Arabidopsis thaliana: one gene and its partners. The protein of the gene in region 2 purifies or fractionates together with the protein of the main gene of each other region. This does not show direct contact. Each region holds a gene or a part of one and is shown on either strand. Other genes may lie near its edges.

The links.
Region 1: the proteins of GRF2 (region 2) and AT3G28200 purify together in Arabidopsis thaliana (affinity purification with mass spectrometry, with the first as the bait; one study listed by BioGRID). This does not show direct contact.
Region 3: the proteins of GRF2 (region 2) and WRKY6 purify together in Arabidopsis thaliana (affinity purification with mass spectrometry, with the first as the bait; one study listed by BioGRID). This does not show direct contact.
Region 4: the proteins of GRF2 (region 2) and GLDP1 purify together in Arabidopsis thaliana (affinity purification with mass spectrometry, with the first as the bait; one study listed by BioGRID). This does not show direct contact.

What each region holds. Positions count from the first base shown.
Region 1 is NC_003074.8:10,515,956-10,520,043, forward strand, and holds AT3G28200 (Peroxidase superfamily protein), read left to right. Parts: upstream 1-2,021; 5' UTR 2,022-2,126; coding exon 2,127-3,077; 3' UTR 3,078-3,561; downstream 3,562-4,088.
Region 2 is NC_003070.9:29,459,474-29,463,908, forward strand, and holds GRF2 (general regulatory factor 2), read left to right. Parts: upstream 1-1,917; 5' UTR 1,918-2,409; coding exon 2,410-2,886; intron 2,887-3,063; coding exon 3,064-3,186; intron 3,187-3,298; coding exon 3,299-3,415; intron 3,416-3,516; coding exon 3,517-3,579; 3' UTR 3,580-3,916; downstream 3,917-4,435. UniProt on the Arabidopsis thaliana protein: Is associated with a DNA binding complex that binds to the G box, a well-characterized cis-acting DNA regulatory element found in plant genes.
Region 3 is NC_003070.9:23,016,028-23,021,164, forward strand, and holds WRKY6 (WRKY family transcription factor), read right to left. Parts: upstream 3,468-5,137; 5' UTR 3,129-3,467; coding exon 2,763-3,128; intron 2,558-2,762; coding exon 2,456-2,557; intron 2,362-2,455; coding exon 2,215-2,361; intron 2,126-2,214; coding exon 1,811-2,125; intron 1,713-1,810; coding exon 1,599-1,712; intron 1,478-1,598; coding exon 860-1,477; 3' UTR 542-859; downstream 1-541.
Region 4 is NC_003075.7:15,926,109-15,933,171, forward strand, and holds GLDP1 (glycine decarboxylase P-protein 1), read right to left. Parts: upstream 5,315-7,063; 5' UTR 5,043-5,314; coding exon 3,828-5,042; intron 3,709-3,827; coding exon 3,463-3,708; intron 3,375-3,462; coding exon 3,297-3,374; intron 3,211-3,296; coding exon 3,110-3,210; intron 3,020-3,109; coding exon 2,824-3,019; intron 2,744-2,823; coding exon 2,618-2,743; intron 2,520-2,617; coding exon 2,220-2,519; intron 2,140-2,219; coding exon 1,987-2,139; intron 1,896-1,986; coding exon 1,707-1,895; intron 1,621-1,706; coding exon 1,543-1,620; intron 1,462-1,542; coding exon 1,336-1,461; intron 1,249-1,335; coding exon 1,150-1,248; intron 1,053-1,149; coding exon 935-1,052; intron 833-934; coding exon 744-832; 3' UTR 544-743; downstream 1-543. Other genes in the region: CBL10 (calcineurin B-like protein 10), read left to right, coding at 33-145, 236-290; ZIP9 (ZIP metal ion transporter family), read right to left, coding at 6,495-6,950. UniProt on the Arabidopsis thaliana protein: The glycine decarboxylase (GDC) or glycine cleavage system catalyzes the degradation of glycine.

The DNA of each region.
Region 1 (4,088 bases), on a different chromosome or scaffold from region 2:
TTATAGCCCAAAAACTTTTTCTTAAACTTAGTGCTTAGTATATTATGATTTAGGGGACAATTCCGTTATTATTTCTGCATAGGTAAAGTAATCATATATTTGTTTAAACTACCGGTACAATTTAAACTTTAAAATAATGTAAAATATGTAGTTTTTTTCAAGGCCAAAACAAACGTTTCTTTTTGTAATTGTTCAACACAAGTTGATTCACAATCGAAATAATTTATGTGCGAAAACTCAGTTAATAGTTGTGAAATATTACTTCAAAAAACACTGGTAAATTGGTAATGCGTGTCTTCTGAAATTATTATGATGCCACTTGATTAATATTAGATTATTCCTAAGTGAGACATTTCTCTTTGATATTGGTGACATAATTTTATCTAGGCTTCAATATATATATATATATGGTCAAATTCATTCAATATATTTCTTTCAATGAAAGTTGTCGTTTCTATGTTTATAAATTTATTTTATGTATATATGATTATTCTTTACTTATAGTTTATTTACGTTCAACTTACTCTTTTATATTTGTGTCGTTATTTATGTATATTCAAGTAAACAAAGAATTATACAAAAGGTTGTCTTTTTGACACATTTTAACTCATAGCAAAATATATTTCAAAAGTAGAAACATATGTTCATGTTCAATCTCCACGGATCGAATATGGGTAAAGTCGGAAATCGGCATAGTACGTGTAAGACTGTAGAGTCGAAAAAAAAACAGAGAAAGTGAGACTTTTCATGTCATATAACATGTAAATGATTTTTTTTATAAAACCCATCCATATCGTATATGCTGGATTACCGAATCGCCACGTAAAATTAAATTAATCAAACAAAAATGAAAAATCCATGAGACTTTGTGGAGATTGCTTCACTGTCTTCTCCGCGTGGATGAGAGATCAATAACACATACAAAAAAAGAGTTTAGGCTGCATGTGAACTACGTAATGTCCGTCAATTTCTCTGTTTCGCCAATTTTTGCTATTAACTTAATTTATTTACACCAATAATTGAACTAAACACATGCATTATCATTTATGTAATATCCCTATATGCACACATAGCAAATTCTGTTTTTAGTAACTTCCTTTCCTAAACCAATACGGCAATACCGCTTATTAGTTTTGCCTTTACCCAAACATATGAATGTTTTCTTTACCTCAATCAAATTTCACCTAAATCTCTATATAGAATGTTGTACTAGGTTTTTAGTTTATAAATAATAGGCATTTTGATGATCTTACATTTCTGATAAATAATTACACTGGCCTCTCTCTTTTGTTTTTGAAGTAAAAAATATTTTGGAAAATTACCATTTGATCTTCAAATTAGTAATTAGCGAACGCATTTTCGCCAAATAACTATACACTATTTTATAAAATCATACAATTTAACGTTTGTCATCAAAGTTATTTACTTAAATATGACCAAAATTTTGTTATCTAACTAACTACATCTTATAAATAATGGAAATTTCTGCTAAACCGAATTAAAAATAATCTAAATTTTGGATTAGTTTTTCATTTTCTGGTTATCCAACTATTTTTGTAAAATTTCTTAAATATAACCCATTACAAGACACTTTTCTTTCTGGTTTGGCTCGAAATTTCACCGATTCAAATCTAAATCTTTAGTACGTAAACCGGTCTACATTAAATAAACCAATCCATATACTGTAATTAAAGTTACACAAGTAAACCGGATCCAACCTAAGACCATCTCTATTGGGGGTATCTCATAAGAGTTTCTCATAATTAAAAAAATAAAAATAATGAAAATGAAGGAAAGAGAGTGTAGAAAGTTTCTCACTTGAAAAACTCTGAGATACTCTTTACAACCCATTGTGACAATTCTCATCTTACTATTGGTTTAATTTTTTAACAAAAATAATTTTTTTAATCAAATAATCAAATTATAATATAATATTAAATTTTTTTTGTTCGAAAAATTTTGTGGGTTTATCATGGATGGAAATGCCCTATGCTTTGACCTTACACACATCCCCGTGATTGGTGTGGACCGTACATCGGCGCGTGAACTCCACTGTCCCTCCCACTTACTTCATCTCCTTCCATATAATCCCAAACCCCCCTCTCTCTCTCTCTCTCTTCTCAACAATGGCTTCACTCAAATCTCTCTTCCTCCTCTTCCTCTTCTTCTTCACAGCTCAATCTCGCTTAACCACAAACTTCTACTCAAAAACATGCCCAAGATTCCTCGACATCATCCGTGACACAATCACAAACAAACAAATCACTAATCCCACCACCGCAGCCGCCGTTATCCGTCTCTTCTTCCACGACTGTTTCCCTAACGGCTGCGACGCCTCCGTCCTCATCTCCTCCACCGCCTTCAACACCGCAGAACGTGACTCTTCCATCAACCTCTCACTCCCCGGAGACGGTTTCGACGTCATTGTCCGAGCCAAAACAGCTCTCGAACTCGCTTGTCCCAACACAGTTTCTTGCTCAGACATCATCTCCGTCGCAACACGTGATCTTCTAATCACCGTCGGTGGTCCTTACTACGACGTTTTCCTCGGCCGTCGTGATTCAAGAACGTCGAAATCTTCTCTTTTAACCGATCTTCTTCCTCTTCCTTCCACACCAATCTCTAAAATCATTCAACAGTTTGAATCAAAAGGTTTCACTGTTCAAGAAATGGTTGCTCTTAGTGGAGCACATTCTATAGGGTTTTCACATTGTAAAGAGTTTGTGGGTCGGGTGGGTCGGAATAATACCGGGTATAACCCGAGATTCGCAGTGGCTTTGAAGAAAGCTTGTGCTAATTACCCTAAAGATCCGACTATCTCTGTGTTTAATGATATTATGACTCCTAATAAGTTTGATAATATGTATTATCAGAATCTTAAAAAGGGTCTTGGGTTACTTGAATCGGATCATGGATTATATTCTGACCCTAGAACCAGATATTTTGTTGATCTTTATGCTAAGAATCAAGATCTGTTTTTCAAAGATTTTGCTAAAGCTATGCAGAAGTTGAGTCTTTTTGGTATACAGACTGGTAGAAGAGGAGAGATCCGAAGAAGGTGCGATGCTATTAATTGAGTTTATGTTTTTAATTTATTTAATTTTTGGGTTATATTGGATTGTGAATCTTCTGAGTTATTACACTCATATGTTTTTGTGTAATGTAAAAGATATATGGTTGATTGTTCTAATTAAGAGATTGGTTTTGGTACAAAGATTGTTAACCTTTGTGCAGAGATTGAATTTGATGATTATGTAAAGGAAATGTTCTGCATTTCAGCTCTAAAATTTGAGTCCGGTTCAGTGAGAGTAAACCAAACTGAAGTAGTTGTAGTTTGAGTTTGGTAATCATTCATTAGTGGCTGATTGATAATTAATATGTTGGTTGAGATAAGAGATGTGATTTAATGGATACGGAGTTGGTAGCTCAACGAGTGAACTTTTGGAATCTGGAGCATCTAGGGGGTTTAGAGTTTGAGCACCACCAACAATAAAGAGAGATTTACATTACAATGGAAACCTTCTTTCTTCGATCTAATTAACTATATTTGTGGTTTCTTGTTGGAAAAGATTATAGTTTTTGGCCCATATACAAAAATTAGGCCTTGGTTTCTGGTAAAGTTGTAAATTTCTAGTGTTTTATTTATATCTTGTGACAGAATGTGGTATGCTATTTGTGTGCATTTGAAAAATGGATCAGTTACAAGTAGTCACACAATCAAGCCCAAACCTAGTTATTAGTCCTCCTTCATCTCGGCTCAGACACAAGTCCAGTTTTGTCGGTTCTTAGAAAGAGTCTTAAGAGCACCCTCAATGGTAGTTGTTTAATAGAAAGAAACTCTAGAAGCTCTTAGAGCACCATTATTGATAATTGCTTAGGTTAATTCTTAGAAAACTTTGGTTATGAATTTAATGTTTTTAATCATATATTTGTTAAGAGAGTCTCTTATATAAGAGACAAATTGAAGTTTTCTTAGTTTTTGTTTCAGAAATTTTAAAATTAATTCATAAAAAGTTCTAAGAACTAAGTTAAGAGTAATCTAAGACACTAGCAATAATGATGCTCTTAGCACAATATCACAAAAGCTC
Region 2 (4,435 bases):
TGGGGTTTCTTCTACTACATATGTGGTTGATTTCGACCTCGTATAAATTGTTTTTAATACTTATGGTAAATTTAAAGAATTCGGAATCTTAGTGACAAAGGAAATATTTTCGTTATCTTCTGAAATAATAGGATAAAACTGGATTATTGTCTAATGTCAACGAACGAAGATAACACTGAGGAAAAGTGTCTTCGTCAAATCGTTAACGGTTCATCTATCGAAATTCGACCTTATTTAATCGCATTACTCCAAATAGTAAAGATTGGTAAAAAAAATTTATCAACTTAAGGACTAAACGAAACTAAGTACAGAAAACATTTTAGTAGTAACAAAGTTCATGGTTTTATTCTTTAGAGGGATTTGATTGGCTTCCATAAGAGAATGAACTAATGATTGTTTCGTTGGAAGAAGTTTAAAGTAACTTGATCGTTGGTATTTGAGAAGTATTTTATGTATAATCCTAAAGACTTCAACAAAAATAAATAAAATATTATCCTAAAGTTAATTGTCAGAAACTTATAATAAAATTGTAAGATCTTTTGTTGTCGACAGTCGACGACAAATAAGATAATGCGTTTGTTGTTATTATCATAACTTATACCGTAAGTTATCAATATGAATCATATGATTTACAAGATAGACTCATCATAGTCATAGATCACATCGAGACGGAAGTTTTTTTAAGTTAAGAATGAAAAAGAAGGGAAGATAATTAAAATTATTGGCAGGGGAGCCTCGGAGATATCCCACATATGCTCAATTGTTGGGCTTCCAAACCTCTTATTTTATGTTGACTTGAGCATGCACCAACATGCATTAATATAAGTGTCATCGTATAAGTTATTAATGTCACGTCTCATCCGTCAAAAACACACAATTGTCAATCGTCCATATCTCTGCTAGGTATGATCAAACCCGACCACTCGTAAATCCATGTTATGAACTCAGATAATGTTATCTCTGTTAATATTTCTTGAATGTCCCAAAATTTAAGGGGGATGGCAATTAGGGAATGAACACTTCGATATGGTTCAAACCTTACGTTTCGCATCGATTCATGCTCTCGTCCCTATCTCCCCCACACCCAACACGTCGGAGCAAATCATCTGGTGTATTAACACTTTCATGAAGATTGGTCTCTATACAAGTAGAGAATCGTATATAAATAGTCATAGAGATAAGAAAGCTAATTAGATAAGGATCATCATTATCTAAATGACTAATTATAATTAGGAGTTATCTCAATACTTATCAAAAACTTTTGATCTACTTGCGTACGCTATATAGCTAGATTAACCACAAATCTTTTTCGAACATATCCGAATTTTCGCCTTTTTTATATGACGGTTTTTTCTAACGTATGATCTTTAGATATATCATGACTATACGTTCAATGAATACATGTTATTGTATAGTTAATATTTATGCTAGAAAAGTATAGAGTAATCTTATTATTTCATTGAATGTAAAACATAATCATCAAGAAAACTAATGCAAATAAAACAAATTAACAAAAAGGAGTAAGATAGGAAAAAACATAATCATGGATTAGGATAACTGGATAAGCATTGGATTAAGCAAAACGGAAAAAGGAAAAACAAATATTGTAGTATTTTAATAAATTACTTCAGTACAAATACAACCACATAATTAAGAACATAATGATTTTAAAAAGCTCGTAAGAATCGCCTACGTACTTAGTTGAATGTTTGAAGATTTGAAGAATAGACAACCTCCGAAGTATTTAAATTTTGAAAGAAGAAAAAAAAAACCGTTTGAGCAATCACAAAAATGTGAAAGCTGAGTTGGAGAAGAAAGGGTCCATTGGATCCCCTGACATGCTCACAACACACATGTGTCCCTCTGAGCTGTCTCCATTTTTGTTAACCCAACTTGCTTCCATTATTGTATCAATCTCACAACTCCAATTTCTTTTCACAATTAGTAAATAACTATATTAACAAATCTACAAAAAACTAGCCCCTATTTTAACCACTAGACCCAAAATTTTATAATTCCTTAAGGTGCCTATACTAATAGTAGCAAAATCACATTACCAATTATTTTGTTAATTGACCAAATTTTATCCAATAATCACATTACCAATTTTTCTAAAAGTGTATTTATGTTGTTCTTAATTTGAGGTGAAAAAAAATCCCCCTTTAAAAAGCAGGACCGGCCACAAATCCAACGGCCCAGATTAGATCTTGGTTCCAAATTTCACTCTTTTCCTCTAAAACGCATTTATCACTTTCCCTCATTAAACACAAAAACTCATTCATCGTCCTCTCTCGCTTGACCTACAACACCCGATTCTCTAATCGAAACCGTTTCTCTCTTTTTGATCAGATCTCAGATCTTTCCCTCTTTGATTCTTCTTCCTTAGATCGATTCTCTCTAGAAACAACAATGGCGTCTGGGCGTGAAGAGTTCGTATACATGGCTAAGCTCGCGGAGCAAGCGGAGAGGTACGAAGAGATGGTAGAGTTTATGGAGAAAGTCTCCGCCGCCGTTGATGGCGATGAACTCACCGTAGAAGAGCGAAATCTTCTCTCCGTCGCTTATAAGAATGTGATTGGTGCTCGCCGTGCCTCGTGGCGTATCATTTCATCGATCGAGCAGAAGGAAGAGAGCCGTGGTAACGATGACCACGTCACGGCGATCCGTGAATATAGGTCTAAGATCGAGACGGAACTCTCCGGAATCTGCGACGGAATCCTTAAGTTGCTTGACTCTAGACTCATCCCTGCCGCTGCTTCTGGTGATTCCAAGGTCTTTTACCTTAAGATGAAGGGAGATTATCACAGGTACTTGGCTGAGTTTAAGACTGGTCAAGAGAGGAAAGACGCCGCCGAACATACACTCGCCGCTTACAAATCTGCTCAGGTTTGATTCCGAATCTCAGATCTAGTTTATTTGAGTCTAGTGTGTGATCCGTGGATGGTGGTTTGTTAGATTTCCAGTATAATGAGACTTAAATTAGGGATTTGTGTATTCTCGAATAAGATCTTGAGATTGTCTAGGTTTTGAGCTTATAGTCTCTATGTGTAATTATCTGTGCAGGATATTGCTAATGCAGAGCTTGCTCCAACACACCCAATTCGTCTTGGTCTTGCATTGAACTTCTCTGTGTTCTATTACGAGATCCTCAATTCTCCTGATCGTGCCTGTAACCTCGCCAAACAGGTATTTCAATCTACTCATCTTTCAATTATGATAATGTGATTGGACTTGGTTTAACACTTGACCTCATTGGACATAAATTTGACTGGTTTTGTTGTTGTTATGTATCGTCAAGGCCTTTGATGAGGCGATTGCAGAGTTGGACACTCTTGGTGAAGAGTCATACAAAGACAGTACCTTGATCATGCAGCTTCTTCGTGACAATCTCACTCTCTGGACATCTGATATGCAGGTTTGTTCATATAATCCCCGCACCTTTGTTCTTTCTTTGTTTCTGTTATGGATGATTCGCATTCCATTGACTAAATTCTGTAACGGTGGGGATTATATTAGGATGATGCTGCGGATGAGATCAAGGAAGCAGCAGCGCCAAAACCGACCGAGGAACAGCAGTGATCTTTTGAGTGAAACTGCTAGTTTTCTTCTAGGGTTTGGAATTTCTTCTCTTTCTCGTCCATATGTTTTTCTTAATCCATCTAAGAGGTCGCTCTTGCCATTTCGCTCATCTTCAAAAGCTTATTCATTCATCATATTTGTGGCAAGTCTGAACCATCAATCATCTTTTTATCTCTTTTTAATTTATTTTCTCTTTTCTTATTTCTTTGTTGTTATCGATTTCAATGTCTGTGTAATCGAAACTTGCTTTCTTTTCTCATCAATTTGAAGATCATAAAGTCTCTTGTCTCTTATCTTGTTGCGTAGATTGATTGTTTATCAATTTTTAATTTTAAAAGCGGACTAGTTTATTGGACTGCGTAAAGCCAATTACTTTACCTGGTCTGAAATCAATCATCAATTTGATTATATAAAAATAAAAATACATTTCAAAAGAACTATTTAAGCAATAGACACTCGTTAGTCATTTGACACTTTACAGGTTTAAATTAATGATCTCGTCAGAGTTTGAAGTTTCAACTTAAAATGAAAGCATCAGAGCATAAAATTCAACCAAAGGAACAGTGAAGTGTTTGGTATAGCTAATCAACCAATCAAAAATTTAATACCCCATCGAATAGACGATGAAGAAAAAACTCTTGTATGCAATCTGATTTACAAAGAGATGAAATCATAATGGCAAACTTATAAAAATTGAATAGAGTTGCAAAAGTGTATTCCTTTCTTTTTCCTAGTCTTCTTTGTTTCTAACATGAACAAACCATGAAAACAAAAGAAAGTAAAAAAAAAAACGGATTTAAGTAATCTTTGAGTTAATTAACAAAAAAAAAAACAAATGATCCCACCACTCTCCACT
Region 3 (5,137 bases), 6.4 Mb from region 2:
TGGTTTTTAGTGCAATTTAAAATTAAGCATAATAAAGACTTACCTGTATTAAAAAAATGCATTATTGGCAAATCATGACCCCCACGTCAACTAGAGTTGCACGGAAAGTCAACAACGTACTTTTGCGTATCGCTTCCTTCCAAAGCTTGAGATATTATTCCATCTATTTACAATATTATTACTCCACAGTACACAGATAATTACGTATCGAAATTTTAATAATTTTCTAGAAAATCCTATTTTTACTTCATAAAAATGAAGAAATTGACAAAGCTAAACTTTTCGTTATATTGTTGCCTAAATTTTTGGTCACATATTTCAGTTTATTTATCTTCAAATTTTTCATGCCATTAAACTCGTAGTTTCTAGGAAGTTGTCTCTATTTGTTAGCAAATATTAATGTGTACAGATTTTTAGGTGACTTAATTAGACAGCAATTACGTGTCAAATTGTTATGGTAGCATTTATTGACCGTTGCAATTGTTAAATATATATAAAAAGGTTATTAAAAGTTCAATAATTAAGTGTCATTATGTAGGACACTTATTTGATGATATCTCATTATCTTATTGAAGGTACGGCCAAACTATTAGGTTTGTATCGGCGCTCACATGTGAAGTATTTAATATACCACTCAAAAGAAATATCAAATATTAAAGCTTTAAAGGCAATGCTAATTAAGTTACGTAACTATTTATAGTGTTTACGAATATGAACTTGAGTATAGTTTGCTTTTGTATATTTACTGGGATTTTGGTACGAAACAGAACAAATGTGAATCAATGAAATAAACTCTCTGTTTCCTATAACCCAGTTGGAAAAAAAATGTAGATACCCAAAAAAAAAATGTAATATTTTTCTATTGATTTTTGTTGTTTCCTTCGCCGTCGTGGTGGTTCGTACCATTGATCATAGAAGAAATAACGGCTGCAAGAGCCGCCGTGAAATTCGGGTCAGCTGTGAGTGCCGTTATTGTATCAGCCACCGCGTGTGACTGAGAAAACGCTGCCGTCGAGGGAGAGCCACCAGAGAACTGCAGCCCCGAGAACTTGGATTGGTTATACAATGCCTGGCCTATTACATGAGGTAGCATTCCCGGAGGTAAGTTCGTCATTTGCTGTTGTTGTTGTTGCGGCCGCTGCATCAGTGAGTTGTGGTTGTTGTTGGTAGCCGCGGAAGAGGAAGGATTGGAACCATTAGGAGGCGGAGGTGAGTGGGTGAGGTCTAATGTGACGGTTGGAAACGGCGCGGAGGCTGAGATTGTTGCCATGCTTGTGGAGCAAGGAAGAACAGCCCTAGCTAGTAAATTTGTAGGGTTCATCATCCCGTCGTGACTAGACATTGACCCGGATAGCAACATGTTAGCCGCCGCCGTGGTGGTAGAAGCCATGGCTACCGCGGCTGGCGGCAACGGATGGTTATGGTTTCCCTCGTAGGTTGTAATCAGAATTGATCTGTCTTCCGCGCAACGTTGAACCTATAAATATCATTTCGGACCGAACGTATTAGCCAATCACGCAAACATATATACATTGAAATCTCTAATGTTTTTACAACAAGAATCTTTTAGTCCAATGGTTAAATCTTTTAAATCTTACTTGTTTGCGAACGGGACAGCCCGTGGCCATCGTGCAGCGGTAATATGCCCGCGGACAAGGATTCCCTTTGGCCATCTTCTGGCCATATTTTCTCCATTGACATCCATCGCTTATCTATAGAAACATAAAGTACAAAGATAATTAATCTCTAAAGCACATAGTTTATTTTTTATATAGTCTTATAAGTATTAGTATCTAATAAATCAACTTACCATCGGAGCTTCCGATCGGGCACGAACGGAGACACGGGCTTTCCTCATCGTAGCTTCAGCGGTTTGATCAAATGTCGTCGGGGTAGTAGAATTCACCTTCTGAATTTTGTTGGACTCAGTTTCGGGGCTTTCTTCACGCCCAAGTCTCTTCCCGTTACTACGCCTCTCGGCTGCAGAAGAACCCCCCGAACGAGTTCTATCTTCGGATGAAGAATTTGACACATCCTCGGCCTCACCTACTGCTCTCGTAGGGCCTAAATCAATAAATTGCCTTGGTACTATCGTCTCCTCAGGCTTCTCAGCAGCTTCTATTACCTAATCATATAGGTTCACCAAAATTAATTGCCTATTCATGTAGGGTAAATTCCATTTACTTGTGGTTGATCAATCTAATAATTATTTACCTTATTGTTCTGTTGTTGCTGTTGCTGCATTAGTGAAACAAGATGCATCTGAAGTGAAGTGTAACTGTTGCTAACTTGTGTAAGCAATTCTCTAAGCTTTTGATTATCCATTGTCATTTTCTTCAACTCATCTTGTAATTTCACCAACTGTGATAAACAAAAAAAAATCGAAATATTAATCAAACCGGTTCAAATTATTCATCTATTAAATATTACTAATGTAAAATCAAACTAAACTTACCTCATTTTTCGCACGCTTATCTTCCATTTCGGAAGATTCTCCATCATCGATCATTGACTCATCACTCTTTGTATTACCAGTTGTTCGAAGATTCAAACCGGTCTATAACAAATTAAAATTCAAATTTAGAAATCATTTTGTAAGAAAACAAAATATGATACCTTTATCAAAAAAAAAAAAATGAAACAAAATTTGGTATTTTTATTTGATATTTCAAATGTAAACCAAATTATGACACGTCCACACTAATACAAACCATTAGTAAGAAAATTGTATTTCATATGATTTATCGAAAAGTCGTACTTACATTTACGTCCGTTCGATCATCTTGTTCTTCCTTCTTCACACGAAATCCTTCGTCGTCTTCACGACAAACCCTAGATTTCTTGTCGGAGAAGAAATCCACTTCGCCGGGAACTTCACGGTCATTATCTCCAGCAACGCCAGATGAAAAATCTTCATCTTCACGATCACGAATACCTGAGAGACTCACCGGAAACCTAAATTCACTACCGTTGGTTGATATTCTCGTCTTCTGATCATCTTCTTCGTCAATTCTAGACATCGCCAAAGGATTTGAGAAACGTCGGTGATTCTTATGAGAAATACGATTAGGGTTTAAAAGATCAAGAGAAGATGAATCAAGAGTGAGACCAGACCATCCTCTGTCCATATATAGAAAAAGAAAGAGATCACGAGATTAACGAAGGAGAAAGATTTTTAGAGAGATCAGAAAATGTATTTTTTTTTTGTTTAGGGGTTTGGTTGAAAGAGAGAGAGATTAAGAAAGAGTCTGTGAAGTCTTCTGCCAGAACATAAGACTCTCCTATAAAAAGGGTTTGGGACGTGGACCGATTTTGTTTTTTCTTTTTAAGTTAATGAACTTTGATTTTATTTTCCGGAGACTTTTTAAAAAAATTCTTGGGAGTTTTACGTCAGATCCTGCGTCATTGCCCGGTTACGACCCGACCCATAATACACCGGGATTCTAAGCCCGTTTCATTTTCATGGAAATTCACACACACACACACACATAAAAACTTCATTTGCTATTGGGTAACAGGTTGACGAAAAGGAAAAATGAAACAAAACATTGTACTATTATTAGAAATTTTTAACAAACAATTGGGCAATCCTTTCAAAGCTAATAGAGAGTACACCGTTTGGGATTTATGATTAGTTTTTAGGGTTTATATATAATTTGTTTTTTTTATTACAGTGTATGATTCAGGTTAAGGTGTAGTTTTCATAAATTTTATACGATATATCAGTATGTATTAATTTTAGCATTTAATGTGACTATTATCTTACAAATTTCTTTTAGTTTTACCTCAAAGTCAGTTCTACATTATTCTTTTGGCGACGATAGTTAAAGCCAATCGGATTACTAGTAAACAACTTTTATTTTTTTATAAAAAATTACATATAAACATCCCATTATATAAAAATAATGTTTTTTTATTTACAATGTCTAAAGTTTATTTCAAGAAATTTTTCTTTTTTAAGATTATGAATCAGATTAATATTTTTTGTTATTAACATATACATAATTTTTACACCAATTATTTTGCCAAATAAATAATAAAGTTTTTTATTCCGATGAAAAGGATAAAATTTTATCATGAAACGAGTCAAAACATAATTTTAGATAAAAGAATAGGGTTTTATAAGCTAACTCACTATAAATAGCTTATAAATAGTTTTAACTACAAGTATGTTATAAAACCAAAAATTTGTAAATTGATCGTAAACTATGCCACTGTAAAACGGATTAGCTCATTTGACACTTGTAACATGATGACCAATCAATCAGTTCCTTTTATTAAATTTTGATGTCGAAATCACGAGAAAATGGTTATGTGGCGTAATCGTCTTGAGACTATTAAATTGTGATATGAAGAAAGAGCATTGACTAGTTCTCTTCTGTTTGATCAAACGGACGAAAAGTTTGATCCACCGCTCCGTTTACTGCGGCGCGTTCCACGTGATTATACCTTTTCTCTTTTCTTTTTTTTCAGCTTATTTATTAGTATTAATTTATTTTTAACAAAATACAAAAACAGTTGGAAACAAAAACCGAGTCAACGATTTTGACGGCCCGGCTTCTAATAGTCTTGACTGGTGACCGGTTGCGCTGGTCGTTAGGTCTTACTTCCGTGGCCGGCCGGGCCCCACTCATGTAATAATTTATTTTTTGACCCATTTTTCTTTGATATATTATTAAAGCTAAGCACCTAGTTTCTTGTTTTCTTGAAGTAGACCTTTAGTTCTCTTTCTCTAATGTTAAAAAAGAAAAATAATGAAGACCTTGTTCTCTAAATACAAAGTCGATTTTTATACATATCTTGACAAAGTCGATTATTTATGTTTCGTTGCTTGTCACCGACTTAATTTTTTGTTAAATCATGGTTACCACATGTGATTTGAAAATTTTATGTACTTCGTTACAAAAAGAAATCATGAAGTACAGGAATATTCTTTCTTTTTTTTTTATAATAAATTACAATAACCTAATTATAGTACATGGCTTATGTTTGGGATAACAAATAAAAGAATGGTAATTTTCAGATTTTAAAGTATACATTTTCTTTTGTTGTTATCATATTAGAACTATTGACTTTTCTATTATCTATAATTATATTTTATTAGACTACTACATAATGTAAATGCAATTTTTTTATT
Region 4 (7,063 bases), on a different chromosome or scaffold from region 2:
CTTCTTTTCTTTCTCTACTTTGTTTTTGCTAGACATTTGCTGATGCAGATTCTGACAAAGACGGTAAAATTAGTAAGGATGAATGGAATGTCTATGTGCATAAACATCCTAGCTTGTTGAAGAATATGACTCTTCCTTACCTAAAGTACCAAATCCTCTCTCTTTTTTAGATTAGCCCTTCCATTTAGGATTTCCTTTACTTTATCATCAACCATATCTGTATTTGAATTTGAAGGGATGTGACGACAGCATTCCCAAGTTTTATATTCAACACTGAGGTTGAAGACTGAGGCACAACTGTCCATGCAACACCGGTCATCTTTTTTCTGCTTGGTCCTGTAATTCGAGTGAGATTGTCATAGCGCAAGAGCAGAACGAGGAAAGAAGGTTTTCCTTATTTTATTTTAAGCCAACGTAGTTGATGATTATTAGCTGTAAGTAAAATTGTCAAGCACTTTGCTTTGTTTTGATGACTTTACTGTAATTGTTCCATTGAAAGTAATGAAGCATTTTTCTTTTCATCTTGCGTCTATGGCAGTATAGTTGATTTAAGTCTTGATTCTACCAAAGTTTGTGTTTTGTTTTCGGTCAATTGTGGAATATATAATTTATAGAAGATGTATTCGAATGAAATAATAGAGTAAGAGACAGAAAGCGTATAATGAGAACACTATGGACAGAATGTGAAAGAGAAGAGTGCGTGGTGAGAGAAAGGGACACAACACAATGGGACAGAGCAGTAATCAAGCAGACACTGCAGCTGCGACTTGTTCTTCCTCTGGGAGGAGAGTGCACACCAGTTTCCTGTCTCCATATACATTGTCCACACGCCCTGTTCCACATTTCAATCATTTGTCACATATCAGAATTCCGAAACCAGAATAAACTGAATCGAAAACCAAATGTGCAATCTATATCTTGGATGGTCTAATACCTGTGGTGGGCCAGAACTTGGAGGAGCGGAGCCAAGGCGCAGGGAAAGCAGCATACTCTCGAGAATACGGCTTTTTCCATGTGTCTGCCATTAGCAACGATGGGGGATGTGGAGCTCCCTGAGAAAACAAACAACCACCAACGTATGAATCTCAACTTCTCCGAACAATATTATTATTGGATATAATTATGATAAGTCTTTGTTTTCCTAATTACCTTGAGAACGTTGTTCTGGACATCTGCATTTCCTTTTTCAATCTGTGCAATTTCTTCCCTGATTGAAATGAGAGCATCGCAGAACCTGTCTAGCTCCGCCTGCAAACGAATATTATTTAGTTTCATCAAGTTGATACACTGAGAGAAGAAAGAGTCAATGAGAGATCTGCATATATCCATATTTACCTTGCTTTCACTCTCGGTTGGCTCAATCATAAGAGTTCCAGGGACAGGCCAAGACATTGTGGGTCCATGGAATCCATAGTCCATTAGCCGTTTCGCCACATCCTCTGGTTCTATTCCAGCAGTGTTCTACAAATTCATATTTGAATCGGTCAGTGATATGCATACCCAAAACAACTACTTTAATTTCAGTTCACAACATTTTCATACCTTGAAGCCTCTCAAGTCTATGATGAATTCGTGTGCTACTGTTCCGTTAACACCACGGAAAAGAACTGGGTAGTGTTTCTGTAAAAACAAATCAAGAGGAAAATTAGACTCCTTTCATTCTCAAAAGATGAATAGGTAAATAGAAGACAAAGATGTTCTACTACCTCTAGGCGCTTTGCCATGTAATTGGCATTCAAAATTGCAATCTTAGAGGCATCAGTGAGCCCACCAGATCCCATCATGGCAATGTAAGTATAAGATATAGGCAAGATAAGCGCAGATCCCCATGGTGCAGCGGATATTGCACCCAAAGGTGCTGTCTTCTCGGGTTGTGGGATACCACCAGTCGGTATCTGTATACATGGAAATGGAAGAAACAAAAAATTAAGGAATTAATCATCAATCACCAAGAAACATAAAAGTGATGAAGGATAAAAGACTAACCACGGGGTGAGAAGGAAGAAATGGTGCCAAATGATTCTTCACACCAATGGGACCCATACCAGGACCACCACCTCCATGAGGAATACAGAAGGTCTTGTGGAGATTGAGATGGCACACATCCGCTCCAATAAAACCAGGGCTCGTCAAACCAACCTACACGTACCCAACACCATGCTCTTACAAATTAGAGAAAATTCAAGATCTCTGTGTTCTGTTTTAGTAAGATATTTCACCTGTGCATTCATGTTGGCACCATCCATGTACACTTGACCTCCATTTTCGTGTATTATGTTGCAAATCTCGTCGATGCCCTCTTCATAGACTCCATGAGTTGAAGGGTATGTAACCATAAGAGCAGCTAAGTTGTCTTTGTTGGCTTCTGCAGCTTTTCTCACCTCCTCAATGTTAATGTTTCCCTTAGCATCAGTTCCAACTGTAATAATTTTCATCCCGCACATAGCAGCACTTGCAGGGTTTGTACCGTGTGCAGAGACAGGTATGATACACACATTACGGTGATGATCTCCTCTTGACTGAAAAATGCATTCATTCATTCACTTTTCAGCTTAATACAATTGAATAGAAGATTGTTAGGTAGAATAAGATCCAAATTTAGGATAAAAGATGTTACCATGTGATATGCGCGGATAACCATAAGCCCGGCATACTCACCAGCAGCACCAGCATTAGGTTGCAACGAGAAAGAGTCAAACCCAGTGATCGTACACAAGAGGTCACCCAAATTTTCGAACATTTCCTACATACATGTGGACAAGATATCAGTTCATTGTTCAACTTTCTAAATCAGACCTCAGATGAATCAAGAAAGTCACTAACCTGATAACCTTGTGCTTGTTCAACAGGAGCAAAAGGGTGAATGTCAGTGAAACTTGGCCATGTGACTGGCATCATTTCAGTTGTTGCATTTAGTTTCATCGTACAAGATCCCAACGGAATCATGCTGTGGCACAGTGATAGATCCTTTGACTGTAACTTGTGGATGTACCTAAGCAACTCATGCTCTGTGTGGTACCTAATCATATTATCAAAATGGAAAACAAAAATGAGATACTGCCAATCCACAAGTAATAAGCCACTCAAGATTCAAAGAACAGAATAATACATGTTGAAGATTGGGTGGGTAAGATAAGGACTCTCTCTTGTTAGGCTAGAAGGAATGGAATTCTGAACCTCGGGTGCTAGAGATTCAGCCGTAAATGGAACCTGAAGCGAATTGAGATAGTCAAATTTCATGCAAGGATCCTAGAAATGATATATCAATAACAAAAAGAGGTATGAACAACACTCACAGGCTTGCCAGAAGCAAAAACTTTGAAAAGTTTATCGACATCATCCAAGGTGGTTGTTTCGTCAAAGGAAGCAGTAATCTGAATTAAGTAATCATATCCAAATATTCAAATCTGTATGATGCTATGAGAGTAAAAACCTTGAAAGGCCAAAGCAAAGGAGACTCACAGTGGTTGAGTCCACAACACGCAGATTAATTTCACTTTTGGAAGCTGCATCAGCAATTGCATGTGCATCCGAACACTTAATTTTAACAGTGTCAAAGAAAGGAAGTTCTTGAACTTCTGCAACCCCAAGCTTGTTCAACCCTAAGGAAAATATACCAGCGAGACCATGGACACGCTGGGCAATAGATTTTAGACCTGCAGGTCCATGGTAAACAGCATACATGGCAGCCATGTTGGCAAGCAACGCCTGCAGGAAAATGAAAAGATGAAGTACTCATCAACATGAATCAACATATCATCTAGTTATCTGAACGAACTAATAGTGAAAAGTGAAAAATGAGTAATCAGATACTAAGAAGTAATTACTTGAGCAGTACAGATGTTGCTAGTGGCTTTGTCCCTCCTAATATGCTGTTCTCTAGTCTGCATAGCCATACGCAGAGCTTGCTTTCCTGAAGAATCAACACTAATACCAATAATCCTCCCAGGCATCATTCTCTTATACTCTTGTGAAGTAGCCAAGAACGCAGCATGAGGACCACCATAACCCATCGGAACACCAAACCTTTGAGCAGAGCCAACAACAATATCCGCCCCAAATTCTCCAGGAGGTTTCAACACAGTCAAAGCCAGCAAATCCGTAGCCATCACAACCTTAACACCATTAGCATGAGCATTCTTAACAAACTCAGCATAATCCAAGACTTCACCTTCAGTACCAGGATACTGAACAAGAACCCCACAAACATCACCAGAGCTGTAATCTATATCCTTAAGATCAGAGGTGACAACTTTCAAATCAAACCCATCAGCTCTAGTCTTACAAACATCAATAGTCTGAGGGTGACAGTTACTAGCAATGACAAAGGTCTTCTTTTTACCCTTAAGAATGTTGTTACACATGGCCATTGCCTCCGCAGCAGCAGTGCCTTCATCCAGAAGCGACGCATTGGACATAGGAAGACCCGTGAGATCTGTGATCACGGTCTGGAAATTGAGGAGCGATTCGAGACGACCTTGAGAGATCTCAGCTTGATAAGGAGTGTATTGAGTGTACCAAGCTGGATTCTCCATGATGTTACGGAGAATGACAGTAGGGACATGAGTGTTGTAGTAACCCATCCCGATGAAGGATTTGAAAACCTTGTTCTTGGAAGCTAAATCAACCATGTGTTGAATCATTTGGCTCTCGGTTAAACCAGCGTCGAATTTGGAGAACTTCATGGAATCTAATCGAATCGATTTGGGCACCGTAGCATCGATGAGTGAATCGATATGGTCAAAGCCACAGAATTTAGCCATGTGGGTTTGTTCGTCTGGTGTTGCAGAGTTGTGACGACGAGGGAAAGTATCGCTGGGTTTAACAGCATCGACGGAGATGGAACGCGTCTGCTGGTGCCTCCCGAAAGCCGCCGTGTGGTTGACAGATCGAGGGGTGGAGATGAAAGGGGAAAGGGAAGAGACATACCTCGCCGGAGCGTGAGGAACAAGGTGAGGTGTTTCAGCGTTACGGTGTCGTTTTGTGTCGTTAACGAGACGTTTGACGATTCCTCTGTAAGCAAGTCTCCTTGCGCGCTCCATTGGGAAAAAAGGTTGCAGTCAGAAAACGAAGAGAGTAAGAGAGATGTTTTGAGAAAGATGGATGTCTTTTTTAGTTTTTCGCCATGAATGAAAGGAGGAGGTAGAAGCTAGCTACAAGGAGGGAATCTGAGAGAGAGTATATACAATATACACTCACGGACCGTTGAATATAAAATGTGTATATTCACGTCCCAAGAAATAGTTAGTTTATAAATACAGAGAAATTTTTGGGAAATAAATAAAAATCCTCAAATTTCGTGGTGTAGGCTCGGATGTGGTTGGTGAAAAGTTGCAGATTCCACGTGTATCGCATCTAAATCAGTAGTGCAATATTGTGCTAATCATTTTATTTTTATGATTAAATTGGATCTCCGACATCTCTTAATTATTTGTTTATTAGTAGCAGTTTCTCCAAACTATTTACATTTTTTCACAACAATATACAATATTTTTTATTGAGTACTAACTATTGTGATTTTAAAAGTAGGATTATTTAGTGTCTTTAGTTCGCAAATTTCTTATTTTCCTACAAAAACTGTAGTTCCCCTCTAATGGGACATACGTAAATTGTAAAGTTTAATCAATGTTAAGTTTTTTTGGTTCTGATTTACATATCCAACAAAAAAGTACGAAAAAATAGAATTTATGCACCAAATCCTTGAGATAATTTACAGGAATTGTGGGATATGCTGTAAAAGCACGAGATAAAATTTGAAAGGAAGGGAACTGAAGTGGAAGAGATTGGGTATCAGTGGACAAAAATGTTTGTCACCTTTATCACTCAGAAAGATAACAACAAATAAATATATATATGGCAAACAAATTTTAATTATTTTGGTTCACATGAAAATATATGATAAATTAGGTGGCGGAATGCGTTTCACAGAGAGTTTATCTCCACAAAGAAAATTTTAATTAAACAGATAAATATAGGGTTCGTCTTTTTCTTCATCATGCATGGGAACCATCGTCATCCATATATATATATATTCGACAGAAAATGAAATATTATAGTTTTCGACCTTCCAAGAATAATATATCTTAAAGATCGTGGAAAAGATTACTCATGAGTCATGACCTACTCTTTTTAAAAACACTTAGTTCATATATATGGTTCTATTATGGCGTTTCTTGAGCTAAATCAAAATGAAGGATTAGAATATGCTCGAAAAGGCGTCAAGAAAATCTTTGGATTTCAGTTGCATACTTGCTTGTAAAAACTAATTGTATTTGTTTTTGTTTTTTGTTCAAAAATTAATTATTTGTTTACCAGCTACAAAAATATATAACATGATTGATAAAGAGTGAATATCTAATAGAATTGATTACAAACATTATTTTGAAACAAATAGAGTGATAGGCATACCTATAATAATTCTGTCCAAAAGAAAAAAGAAAAAGGCATGCCTAAATTTATTACTTTCATAAACAAATAGTAATAATGAAAAGTGATCAAGCCCAAATTGCAAGAGCAGACATCATCCCAGCTCCAAGAAACAAAAAGCAATAAGAAACAACTTGAACTCTGAAATCAACACTCATCTTCTTGCTCAAGAAATCCGCAGCGATCAAATCCACAAGCGCCATGTACACAAGTATCCCCGCAGAGAGAGAATCGAGCACTCCTTCAGCCACCAATGCTGCAACGCTATAAGAGTTGTAAGATGAGGCAATGGCCGTTCCCACCGCTACACCGATCGGAGTAGTGATGGCGAAGAAGAAAGCCATCATGGCAGATCCACGCGGGGTTAGTCTGGCCTCTGCGACGCAGCCACCGAGGGCAAAACCTTCGAAGAATTGGTGGAAGGAAAGAGCGAGAAGGAGAGGACGTATGGTGCATGGGCTATGTGATACTCCAAGCGATATTCCTATGATTATTGAATGTGACACTATTCCCATTTCAAGTATCTGAATACAAAAATATAAGGGTATCATCAATTGATTTTGTGCATCGACACTATACAAGGAAATTATATAAACGGATTGGTTTGACTAAGTCACATAACGTCAAAATATATTAA